Linked DNA regions of Mus musculus. The protein of the gene in region 2 interacts with the protein of the main gene of each other region in a biochemical or structural test. Links are inferred from orthologs where the notes say so. Each region holds a gene or a part of one and is shown on either strand. Other genes may lie near its edges.

Evidence for each region. The genes of interacting proteins can lie anywhere in the genome.
Region 1: the proteins of Supt5 (region 2) and Ccnt1 form a complex in vitro, tested with the Homo sapiens proteins (2 studies listed by BioGRID, with this or other methods). The link is inferred for Mus musculus from reciprocal best matches to the Homo sapiens genes SUPT5H and CCNT1.

Annotation. Positions count from the first base shown.
Region 1 is NC_000081.6:98,542,898-98,549,152, forward strand, and holds part of Ccnt1 (cyclin-T1), read right to left. Parts: intron 5,815-6,255; coding exon 5,769-5,814; intron 4,012-5,768; coding exon 3,848-4,011; intron 3,698-3,847; coding exon 3,627-3,697; intron 1,712-3,626; coding exon 314-1,711; 3' UTR 1-313. UniProt on the Homo sapiens protein: Regulatory subunit of the cyclin-dependent kinase pair (CDK9/cyclin-T1) complex, also called positive transcription elongation factor B (P-TEFb), which facilitates the transition from abortive to productive elongation by phosphorylating the CTD (C-terminal domain) of the large subunit of RNA polymerase II (RNA Pol II).
Region 2 is NC_000073.6:28,327,746-28,334,000, forward strand, and holds part of Supt5 (transcription elongation factor SPT5), read right to left. Parts: intron 3,785-6,255; coding exon 3,625-3,784; intron 2,901-3,624; coding exon 2,835-2,900; intron 2,285-2,834; coding exon 2,273-2,284; intron 1,908-2,272; coding exon 1,838-1,907; intron 1,740-1,837; coding exon 1,671-1,739; intron 1,580-1,670; coding exon 1,514-1,579; intron 1,306-1,513; coding exon 1,275-1,305; intron 1,027-1,274; coding exon 958-1,026; intron 1-957. UniProt on the Homo sapiens protein: Component of the DRB sensitivity-inducing factor complex (DSIF complex), which regulates mRNA processing and transcription elongation by RNA polymerase II.

The DNA of each region.
Region 1 (6,255 bases), on a different chromosome or scaffold from region 2:
CTACTCCAATCAACCTAGTTAGGATGAAGAGAGGCCAAGAGTAGAGTGTGTTCTTCATCCTTCACAGCTTCGACATAATCCCACCTCTCTAATACCAGCACGAACTGTAGATGTGAGGCAGCAGATCGAATAACTGAGGCCCTCCCTCCACCACCCGCCCACTTGTCTCAATAGCAATTTACTCCTTAGGTGACAGATTTCATAAGGGATGTAATTTTCGTAGTCTAATATCAGTAGTCAAAACAAAAAAACAAAACAAAAAAGTGTTTTTTGTTTTTGAAGTTTTTGCCTCTTTTTTTTTTTTTTCTTTTTTTCACTTAGGAAGAGGTGGAAGTGGTGGAGGGGGTTCTGATGGGAGGGGTGGTGGCCGAGGTTTGTCTGTAGTGCCAGATCTGGAGGAGATGGCACCAGCTCTGGGATTCATATATTCACCATAAGAGTGGACAAATTCAAATGCAGGGGCCTGTGTGGGCTGAACCCCCTGGGCACTAAGCAGGGAGTGGAGCATATTCACAGTGTCTTGATAATCTATTGACTGAGTTGCGTTGTGACCATTAGCCCCAGGAGGGCCTTTATCCAGTTTCATATGAGGAACTCGAGTTTTACAGCTAGGCTGTGAAAAGGGCAGGCCACTTGTGTCTGAGCTATGCCCAGGCAACTGGGTCATTGTAGGAAGGGGGGGGAAGGGGAAATTCAAGGAAGATTTAGTACTCTTGGCAATCTTGGCTGGATGATCAAATACTGCTGCCCCAGTCTCTTCCGGGGGACCCCTTTTACGAGTAGAGCTGGAAGAAGACAAAGTACTGGACAAGCTGTAGGTTTTGTGTGCTAAGGTGCTTGTCTGGCTGCTGTGTTTTGGATCACTTGGGCGTTTGCTCACGGGGCCGGCTGGCAGCTGTAAGTGAGAGTGCCTGTGTGAGTGGTGGTTGTGATGGTGGTGGTGGTTAGACGGGTGAGTCCTCTGCTTCTCCTTGTGCTCGCGGCTCTTGGTGACACTGTCTTCTATGGAATTGTGCTTATCCCCTGCAGAGTGAACTTTAATGCGCATCTTTATCTCCTCTGGCTTGGAAGAAACTGCTTTATCCCCACTGGCCACAGGGAGTCTCATTTTCAGAGCTGATTTGTCAGCCTTATCCAGAAAAGGACGTTCAGGGTTTTCTGAGCTCTCAATGGGCATTTTGAGAATAACTGAAGAATGGCTGTCGTGAGACAGGAGATTCTGGGCAGCATACGCATACTGTGACTTCACATTGGCCTCCATGTTCTCCAGCTGCCTCTTCTGAGCAGCCAACTCTTCCGCGTGCTTTGCACGGTACTCCTTAAGTGAAACCTTAGCAGATGGCACACTCTTGCTCGCCTGCTTCTGGGAACCAAACGCACTGGAACCATCCTGTTGCAAGGAATGATCAACGCCAATAAGTGCTAAACTCTCACTAGTCCGATGACCCTGGGCAGCTTCGAGTTTAAACGGAGGTTGGGAAGACAGCCACCGCTCGCCCTGCAACATATCCACACTAGTTAGACTGCTCGATGACTCCTCAGAGGAAGGCAGGGAAGGCACTGCACTTGTAGACGCAGTTGACATGCTCATTAATCCTGCGATAGTTGTGTCTGAAGAGGTCTGAGAAATCATATTGAGGATTGTCTGCTCCGACGTGTTTTCATCTGCTCCTCGGTCATCTGGCTTGGTTTTCATGGCAGCCTGGTACGCCTAGGACGAAGCACATAAACCTTCATGCCAAGCAATTTACTGAGCGGCAGTACAGGGAAACGTCAATTAGGGGAACTTTTCTGGGTGGCTTTGTGTTCCTTTTTGTTTACTGGAGGTGGGGATTTTGGTTTTTGTTCAAGACCAGGCATGTCTCAAACTCAGAGATCCTCCTGTCTCTACCTCTTGAGTACTTAAAGACATTCATCGTCACACCCAGAAAATAAAGCCATTCTTAAACATTCAGTATAACTACTTTTTTTGTTTGTTTTGGTTTGTCGAGACAGGGTTTCTCTGTGTAGCCCTGGCTGTCTTAGAACTCACTCTGTAGACCAGGCTGGCCTTGAACTCAGAAATTCGCCTGCCTCTGCCTCGCAAGTGCTGGGACTAAAGGCGTGCGCCACCACTCCCAGCTCAGTATAACTACTTGGAGGCTGCAGTTAGCCTTTTTAAATTCTAGAAACTTTGATGAGATTTGTATGAACATAAGAGATTAAGTACATGCTTTGAAGTCCATTTCTAACTCAAATCTTCTGGAGGCAACAATTCTCTATAATTCACCAGACTCAGGAGACTTGGTCTGAACTAATAAGAAATACGGGAAATTTCTATACATGGTGGTTCATGCTTGCAATCCCAGCACTTAAAAGGTAGAGGCAAAGGCAAGAGGATCAGAAGTCCAAGGTCAGCCTCTCTAACAGCAAGGCTCAAGGCCAGGTGGAGCTACATGAGACTGTCTCAAAAGAGCTGGGCGGAGGCTTTCTTCCTTCTTCTGAGTGCTGGTGATTGAGTGCAGGGCCTTAGGCAAGGTGAGGACTTTTCATCTATCTGATGCGATGGGAAAGGGAATGGCTATTACTCCCAAGACTAAAATATTTGCATTACAACTCCAGACTGAAGCCCATTTAAGAAGAAAACCCTGGGCTGAAGAGATGGCTCAGCAGTTAAGGAAACTTGCTACTGTTGCAGAGGACCTGGATTCTGTTCTCAGCAACTATAGCAGCTCACAACCACTTAAAACTCCAGTTCCAGAAGAGCTGACATCTCTGACCTCCACAGGTAGTACATGCACATAAATGTAGGCAAACACTCATACACAAAAAATAAATCTCTCCCCAAACCCCAGGTCACAATATATGTAGCCCCAGGTGGTCTCAAGCTCTCAGAGGTCTCTGTCTCCCAAGTGCTGGTATTAAAGACATGCAGCACCATGCCCAACTGTAATGATAAATCTTTTTAAAAAGAAAAAAGGAGCCGGGCATGATGGCGCACGCCTCCACTCGAAGGCAGAGGCAGACGGATTTCTGAGTTTGAGGCCAGCCTGGTCTACAAAGTAAGTTCCAGGACCACCAGGGCTGTCCCTGTCGCTGTCTTCAGACACATCAGAAGAGGGCATCGTATCCCATTACAGATGGTTGTGAGCCACCATGTGGTTGCTGGGAGTTGAACTCAGGTCCTTTGTAAGGAGCAGTCAGCACTCTTAACCACTGAGCTATCTTTCCAGCAGACCCCCCTAAAACCCCCTAAAACATTTTTAAAGTAAAAATCACACTCAACCCTTCTAATTCCATCCATATCTTGCCCTACAGTCTTTTATCCTAAAGACTGAAATCCTGCTGGGCAGTGGTGGCCCACACCTTTAATCCCAGCACTTGGGAGGCAGGGGCAGGCGGATTTCTGAGTTCGAGGCCATCCTGGTCTACAGCACGAGTTCTAGGACAGCCAGGGCTACACAGAGAAACCCTGTCTCAGGAAGAAAAAAAAAAAAAAGACGGAAATCTTAGTTCATATCCATGCTATAAAGTCACAATTACTGTTAAGCAAGAAGGAAACTCCAAACCAAGCACACATATCCAATTCTGGTATATTCACTGGTGCAGTTAAAAGAAAGAATAAGTTTATCAGCACTAAGTCTTACCCTCCAATTCCGAATACGTTTCAGCCTGCTTGGAGTTTTCTCTAGAATCTGTAGAAATTCATGTGTCAATTCTACAAATGAAACATCCAAGAAACGCTCAGAGACAAGAATATCATAAAAAAGAGAAAAACCTCAACTAACTCACTGTTTTCAAGTCATGTTTGGCCAGATATGTGACAAATCAAGACGTGCGTTTCAAGGTCCCTTACACTAAAACTTACCATCTAACAGTTCCAAGGTCACAGTGGCGTCAACATACTCCCACCAGTGCTTCCCGTCAGTTGAGACTGGGATCTCCCAGTTGGACCACTTGCAAGCCAGATGGATGCAGACACAGGCCACCACAGGAGGTGTGTACTGCAGGCTAAATGTGGTCAAATGCAGGCTGACATCAAAGGGAAGGAAACAGAGAGTGTCATGAGCCCTCAATTCTCAACCCTAAACTAAAACTCTCCATTATATAAAAAAAAAACCAAAAAACCAAAAACAAAAACCAGAGGAGAGTGAGAAGGGCAAGACCATCCCGTGCTGACTCAGCACTCAACATGCCTGTCGTCTTTCTCTAAGATTGACTTCTAAGTACCTGGACACGTCTGTGGTGGGGTAAGCACAGTGAGGGTGTGGAGGCCAGAGGTGTTAGACCCCCTACACCGTGAGTTACAGGCGATGGTGTACATCCACAACAGATACTGGGATCTGAACTCAGGTCCTCTGGAAGAGCTATATGTGCTAGGCTAATCTCCTCAGCACCTCAATATCACTTTCTATTAAAATACTGCACAGGTTAACAACACTTCTAAATTTCCTAGTATCACACACTTAGTAAACAGAATACTAGTGAACAAAAAACAAAAATAAAAAAAATAAAAGAAAAAAAAGGAGCTGGGTAGTCAGCCTCGGTGAGGCATACCCCTTTAATAGCCCTTGGGAGACAAAGGCTGGCCTTTGGGTCTCTGTGAGTTTGAGGCCAGCCTAGTCTACATAGCAAATTTCAAGACTGCCAGAGTTATTTAATGTGACCCTGTCTGTCTCAAAACAAAAACAAAAGGAAAAAACAATCAAAGTCAACATAGGAGGATCAGAAGCCTGATCCCAAAACATGGGAAGTGGAAGTTCAAGGCTGGCTTAAGCAATGAGACCGTCTCAAAATGTAAAAATAAAAATGAAAAATAAAAAAAGTTGCTCTCTCAAATACAAATATACCTGATTTTTTTTTTTCTTTTAAAGATTCTGTCTGGGTTTAGGCGGATCTCGTTCTCTGGCTGCCTCAAACTCACAGCAATCCTATCTCCCCATCACAGTACTGGAGCACCATGGTGCTTGGCTCTTACTTTAAATTTGCTTCATCTTTCCTCTTCGTGTGTGTGTGTGTGTGTGTGTGTGTGTCTGTCTGTCTGTCTGTTTAGTAGACAGTTCAGCATGGCTTTGAACTTGCTGTCTGTCTGTCTGTCTGTCTGTCTGTGTGTGTTTAGTAGACAGTTCAGCATGGCTTTGAACTTGCTGTATTCCAGAGGATGACCCTGAACCACTCATTCTCCTGCCTGGGTCCTGAGTGCTGGGATCTCAGACTGGGCCACCACACAGTGTATGCAGGGCTGGCTTACTAATGCTGACCTTCTCACACTTGGTGACTGGGGATGACCGAACAAACAATATGGGAGTCAGACACAAGAACAAGCAGGTCACTGGGCAGAACAAGTTACATACTAACAGCTTTTTAAAAATTAGATAGATAGATAGATAGATAGATAGATAGATAGATAGCAAATCCTTGTAGACTAAGTGCCCATTGCTTTGGCAAAGGAGAAGAAAATTAACAATCCCCCCAAAATTACATGAATGTTCAGGTTGTGCTCTTGGACATTTTATAGCAAAGTTAATGCATAGAATTATGTATGCTAAATAAGTACAAAACCCTAGTTAATTAAAGGGTATAAAGCAAATATAAGGAAAAAAGTAAAATCTGCAGAAAAATTCATTCTCCAGAGTGCTGTCTACAATACATTACAACAAACGTTATTTTTATGGTCTTTTGTCTCTAGTTCACAAAGTGATCCTATAAATCCCTCAAGAGATGACAAGTCCAACCCAACCAAATTCCAAACCCAAAAACAGAAGAGGAAAATAAATAAAAATATAAACCTGTTGGTTGCCATGAAGTAAGATGTCTGTGCTAAGTCCTTGCTTGCTAACAAAAACAAAAGAAAAAGACGTTATTAGTTCCATTTTTTCTCAACAAATACTCAGTAAACATGTACTATTTGTAAGGTACGCAAACAGTGGTAAGTTAGGCAGACCCAGTGCCTGGTCATCTGGTGCATACATTCTACCCAAGCAAACACATCAGCGACTCTGGGAAGAAGGGGCAAGTGGGATGCTGGCAACTCAACACAGGGTCTCTTTCAGGCTAAGCAGATGGTCTACTCATTTCTTTCTTTTTCTTTTCTTTCTTCTTTTTTTTTTTTTTTGGTTTCTCGAGACAGGGTTTCTCTGTAGCCTGGCTGTCCTGGAACTCACTCTGTAGACCAGGCTGGCCTCGAACTCAAAAATTCCACCTGCCTCTGCCTCCCAAGTGCTGGGATTAAAGGCGTGTGCCACCATGGCCCAGCAAGATTTCTAATTTGAATGT
Region 2 (6,255 bases):
GTTCAAATCCCAGCAACCACATGGTGGTTCACAACCATCCGTAAAGAGATCTGACTCCCTCTTCTGGAGTGTCTGAAGACAGCTATAGTGTACTTACATATAATAAATAAATAAATCTAAAAAAAAAATATTTTTATGATTAATTATGTGTACATATGTATCTGTGTATGTGCCTGAGACCAGAGAGATCAGATCTCACGGAGCTGTCGTTACAGGTAGTTGTGTAATTGTGAGCAGCCTGATGTGAGGGCTGAGAATCAACTCCAGTTCTCTGTAAGAACAATATCCATCCCTAACAACTGAGCCATCTCTCTACCGCACTTTTTAAATTTATTTACACACACACACACACACACACACACACACACACACACACACACACACACACACACACACCCCTAGCGACATGGTCAGTAAGAACATTTGCTTAGCAAGCATGAAGACCTGTATTTGAATCCTTAGCATACATGCAAAAAGCCAGCAGGTACGAAGATATGGAATGAGACAGGAAGATCTCTAAGGTTTGCCAGCCAGCCTAGCCAAAGGGGAAAAAAAGAACTCCAGGTTCAGTGAGACCCACCTCAAGAGAGTAAGGCACTGACCAATAGGAAGCTACATGCTATTCTAGCTTCTTCATGACCGCACAACACTATTCACTGCACATGTGCATACATACACTGCAAATCAAGGACTGGAGAGATGGCTCAGCCAAAGGGCAAGAGTCCAGTTCCCATCATCAGTCAGCTATCTCTCCAGCTAAAAACAAACACCACCAACAAAAACCAAGTCCCAGGGAGGCAGAGCCCCTGAGTCAGGCAGTGGTCTTCGCTTTTGCTCTAGTTCATCTGCTCACTTGCTCACTGCACAGGTCTGCTTGCCCAAGGGTGCCTAGTGCCTGCAATATCCTTCCATCCATCCATCCTTTCTCACCCACAACCAGTCCACTTCTTGACTTACTGTGTCTGTGAACTGGTAAGCGATGAATTTCCGCATCAAGGAAATTGCCGTGGCTCGTTCCTCCCCAATCTGGAAAGAGAGACAGGTGTTGGAGAGCTGACAGGGAGAGGGCAGGAGACAGGAGAAGCAAGGGAAGGTAAATGGAGGAAGGTGAAGTAGGAGAGAGATGGATTCCAAGACAAAGGCACTAAAGGACATGAGAAAAGGGGATAAAGAGGCAAAAGCGAGTGAGAGAGAGAGAGCGCTACAGAAAGACCAAGAGACCCAGAGAGACATATGGCCCCTCCCCATATGCAGCCCAAGATCAGAATACACACCTTACACTTGACAGTCCACAGGTTGGGGTCCCTACATGGCACAGGATAAGAAAGACAAGGAAACTTATTACCAGACCTGTCTCCTCACTAAGTCATGATCTATACCACCACCTATCTTCCCCTCTGGCCCAGGAACCACACCTCATGAACCGTACACAAGAGTCTTACTTCCTCTACTTCTATGTGTCTTGACCCCGTATGGGATTCCAACCCTGATTTCTATCCTCCTACTGTCTTACTTGACTCCTGGGAGCAGCTGCTGCTGAGTGATGTCATCTGAGAGCTCGTCAGACCCTCCATACACCCTAGAGAAAGAAGAGCATTGAGAAGAAGGGATGTCCCCGTAGCCCCGCCTGCTTCCCACACAGGGACCACCCACCCCCGCCAGGCACTTACGTCTCTCCCACAGACGACTTAGCATATTTCTTCATGTAATACTCGCCCAGTTCTTCTTCTCTCTGGTCCCTGGGACACAAGGGGAAAAGCAGACATGAAGGAAAGTCAGTCTGCCCCACATCTGTCCAAGGAAGCTAGGTCCCCCCCAGGCCGCCTCAGTTGCTCACCTCCAGAGATTCTGCAGACGACGAGCCCCAGAGCGGTCTTCATCCAGCACAACGTTATCAATATTGGAGGCTGGAAACAGAGTCACAAGGGGAGTCAGGCCGGGAACCAGCTTGGGGAGTTGAGGGGACATGCCTGGCCCTGGGGAGATGGCTAAGGCTCCCCCATCCTTCCCCCATCCTCTGTCCTCCTCAGCCTCTTGCTTTCTCATCACACACACTCAGGGATAGGCCGGCTGCTGACACAGCCGCCAACTGAGCATGCCCTGAGCACCCCACCCATACTCCTATATGCACTATATTTACACCTGTGGACACAGAAATGTGCACCTTCCCAGGTCAGCGACCCCAAACTGCCTAACCCTGCACCCCATGTGAATCAGAGCCCCAGGGCCACACAGGATATGGGACCACAGACCACACTTCCCCAGTTCTTACCTTCAATCTCTTCTACTCGGAGGAAGAGGAGAAGGTGGTGGTGGTAGTGGTGGTGGTGGTGGTGGTGGTGGTGGTGGTGGTAGTGGTGTGCAGGGTAGACAAAGTATGAGCCAAATTATAGCAGCGAAATCAACCAATGGGGTGGGGCAGAGGGAGGGACACAGGAAGGTCAAAACCAAAAGTAAAGGCCAGGCACCAGGTGGGTGGGAGAAGCCGAAATGTATGAGGCGCACAAAACGGAAAGTAACAGGGGAGGGGGCACTGGCCCAGCAAGTGGGGGGATCGGGGTCAGAGCCCGCCCACCCTACACCCCACAAAAGGGATACCCAAAATCCTCTTCCTATAATACCACCCACCCGACAGTCCCCGCCCCCCACTCATGGGCCTAAAAGGAAAAGGGTTGGGGGAAGCTGTCTCTCTGGCAAGGACAGAAAGAAGCACGGTGAAAAGAGTGAGGGTTGGGGTGGGTGCAGGGCATGGGGTAGGGAGAGGGCTTAAAAGAAAGACACCCTCCCAGGCATGATTCACCCCGAGTCGTCTTGCAGGCAGGTCCCACACACACCTTTCTCCAGGATATCTTCAGCTCCATCTTCCCACTGGTCTTCATCTTCATATTCATCATCTACATCTGAATGGGAAAGCCAATGGGATCAGCAGAGAGGAAAGGTGACCTCAGAGCAGCAGCTCCAAGAGAATGAAACACCTCTAGAAGAACAGAGAACTCCGGAACTACATAGCCCTGGACCCGGACTCAGAGAGGTGTGATGCGCTTTCTCCAAGGGACACCACACACTGGTAGAATGCGGCAGGGCTATGTGTAATGTACATCTACCTAGCTCTGAAGGCCATCTGCCCCAACACACCACAGACCCCTTCCAAAAAATTAAGACCAGAGCTGGCAAGGAGGCAAACACCTGTATCCCCAGCATTCTTATCCAGGTCCCATGAAATAGGATAGCCACCCCAACTACTTGAGAGGCTAGCAAGAAAACTGCAAGTTCAAGGCCAGCCTAAGCAACTTAGCAAGACCATGTCTCAAAATAAAAAGTAAAAAAGAAGGCTGGGGAATGGCTCAATGGCACAGCATTTGCCTAGAATCCACCTGTTAGGTGTCAGGATGTGGCTCCACAAGTAATTATGTGGCACAGTCAATCCCCACACTTCCTTTCTTTTTTGTCGACGTGCATCCAACTCCTAAGTGTGGAAATTAAAGTGTGTGCCACCACTGCCAGGTCAATACATACACACACACACACACACACACACACACACACACACACACACAGAGAAATTGAACCACAGACTGTCTCGTGCATACTTTAAGTACAATACTTCCTGGCCTTGTGACATACCAGCCTCATCTAAAATGAAGCCCCCATGGCGTGGTTTCTTGGGGGGCCTATCATCATCTTCCTCCTCTTCTTCCTCATCGTATTCTTCCTCTTCCTCCTCCTCTTCCTCAGGCTCCTCCTCTTTTTCACTGCCTGCAGCACTTCGCTGGTCTTCCTCAACCTAGAGGGATCAAACAGAGTTGAGGCACCAGGATTTTACTATCCCCAAATCCAGAAAAGCTCGTTATCTCTAGCTCCTTCTCCCTCTGTCTCACAAGCATATCCACAATGCACTCAAAGTCTCAATCTGACCATGCCTCTGATTACTGTCCTACCTCAAGTGACAGTATAGCCAAGACCCTTGCACCCAACCAACCCGCAGGAGCCAATCAATCCTTACACTGGATCCCTTGCTCTGAGAGCCATTATATGCCAGGTTTGTGGCTTGTTCCTCATCTCTGTGCTTCTTGAAAAGTCCAGCTCCTAACTCCACAGGATGTATCAGGTGCCTGATACCCATGGATGTCCCTAGCACAACCTTTGCACTTCCTAACACTAAGGATCAACATAGCTGCTACTCACCCTGAGCTCCATTATTGTGTGTGTGTGTGTGTGTGTGTGTGTGTGTGTGTGTGTGTGTGTGTAAGAGAAAGACAGGGTCATTCAGTAATGCAGACTCCCTTGGAACTCGCTGTGTGGCAGTCCCCCCGTTTCCCAAGTACTGGAGTACAGGTATAAACCACCATTCACAGCTTCCCCTCATCCCTTTAAGCAGCTTTGGACAGACCTTCCATGGGCCCAGGCTCTGTCTAGGGCCGTGTTTATCCTTTCTCCCACACCTCTCTCACTGGGCCATTTACCATCCAAGACTTCAGCTCCTGTCTCTACTGCTGATGCTTCTATTCGCCACTATTTTCCAGAAACAGAGCCTCCCCCACATGCAGCAGCCTCTGGGTTGCCTCTCTATATCCTATGGGTCTGCCGGGCCAATAACCAACTGGATTCTAATCCCCGTTCCTTACCAGTTAAAATCGGATCCACGAATTCTGCTGCCCAAGCATCAACCTTTAACTCACCACCTCAGGGCTCCCCCATCTCCACATTGCTATAACGTATTTATCCAGTATTTCTGTATGCTATTTTTACTTTACTTTTGCTTATTATATTTATTTGCACATGTGCCTGCACCCAGCCTATGAGTAAATGGCAGGTATGTGCAGACATGTGCCCTCAGAAGGTGTAAGGTCCCCTGAAGCCAGAGTTACAGACAGCTGTAATCCACATGACCTAGACACTGAGTACCAAACACAGGTCCTCTGGATGAGCTGTGCTATGAACTGTAATCAAAGTTTTAAAACCCAGCCGGGCGTGGTGGCGCACGCCTTTAATCCCAGCACTCGGGAGGCAGAGGCAGGTGGATTTCTGAGTTCAAGGCCAGCCTGGTCTACAAAGTGAGCTCCAGGACAGCCAGGGCTATACAGAGAAACCCTGTCTCGAAAAAACAAAAAACAAACCAACAAACAAAAAAAGTTTAAAAACCCAATTAGAGGGCTGGAGAGGTGGCTCAGCTGTTAAGAGCACTGACTGGGCTTCCAGAGGACTTGAGTTCAATTCCCAGCAACCACAACCATCTGTAAGCTGATCTGATGCCCTCTTCTGGAGTGTCTGAAGACAGCAACAGTGTATTCACATAAAACAAATAAATAAATCTTTAGAAAAAAAGGGGGGAGGGTTTAAAAAGATATAATATAGCTGGGCAGTGGTGGCGCACACCTCTAATCCCAGCACTTGGGTGGCAGAGGCAGGCGGATTTCTGCTTTGGAGGCCAGCCTGGTCTACAGAGTGAGTTCCAAACAGCCAGGGCTGCACAGAGAAACCCTGTCTCAAAAAACCAAAAATAAAGACACATCCGTTTGTATCAATATATACATTTCTTTAAAAGATTTTGTTAATTTATTTTATACCTGAGTGTTCTTTTGCATACTCGCCTGCTTGCCAGAAGAGAGCATCAGATCCCATTTTAGATAGCTGTGAGCCACCATGTGCCTATACTCAGGACCTCTGGAACAGCAGACAGTGTTCCTAACCCTGCACCATCTCTCCAGCCCCTCAATGTGTACATCTAACATTGCTCTGGGCTAAAGACATGACTCAGAAGCTAAGGGCATGTGCTGTTCTTCTGGGTCCCAGGGCTTAATTCCCAGCACTCACATTGAGTGGTTCACAACTGCCTATAATTCTAATGCTGGGGGGGGTGGGGGGGGGTCAAAGCCCTATCTTATTATTGAGGGCACCCCACAACAACACACTGCAGTCACAGCAGCATTCAATCACACAGACATCCACACACACACACACACACACACACACACACACACAATCTTTAAGCTGGGTGTGCTGGTGCATACTTTTCCCTCCTCCTTTTTTGAGACAGGGGTCTCCAGCATTGCCCAGCCCAGAGCAGGTGTATGGTGACTGACACAATGGGGGTGGAAGCAGAAGAAGGATCAGGAGATAAAGGATTCTCTCTTGGCTGAATAGCAAATTCAAGTCAGCCTGGACTACATGAGATCCTGCTTCAAAAACAGAGAAGGCAGCTGATGGCTCTGAGACACAGAGAATTTGCTCTTTTGCTCTTCCAGGGGACCTGGG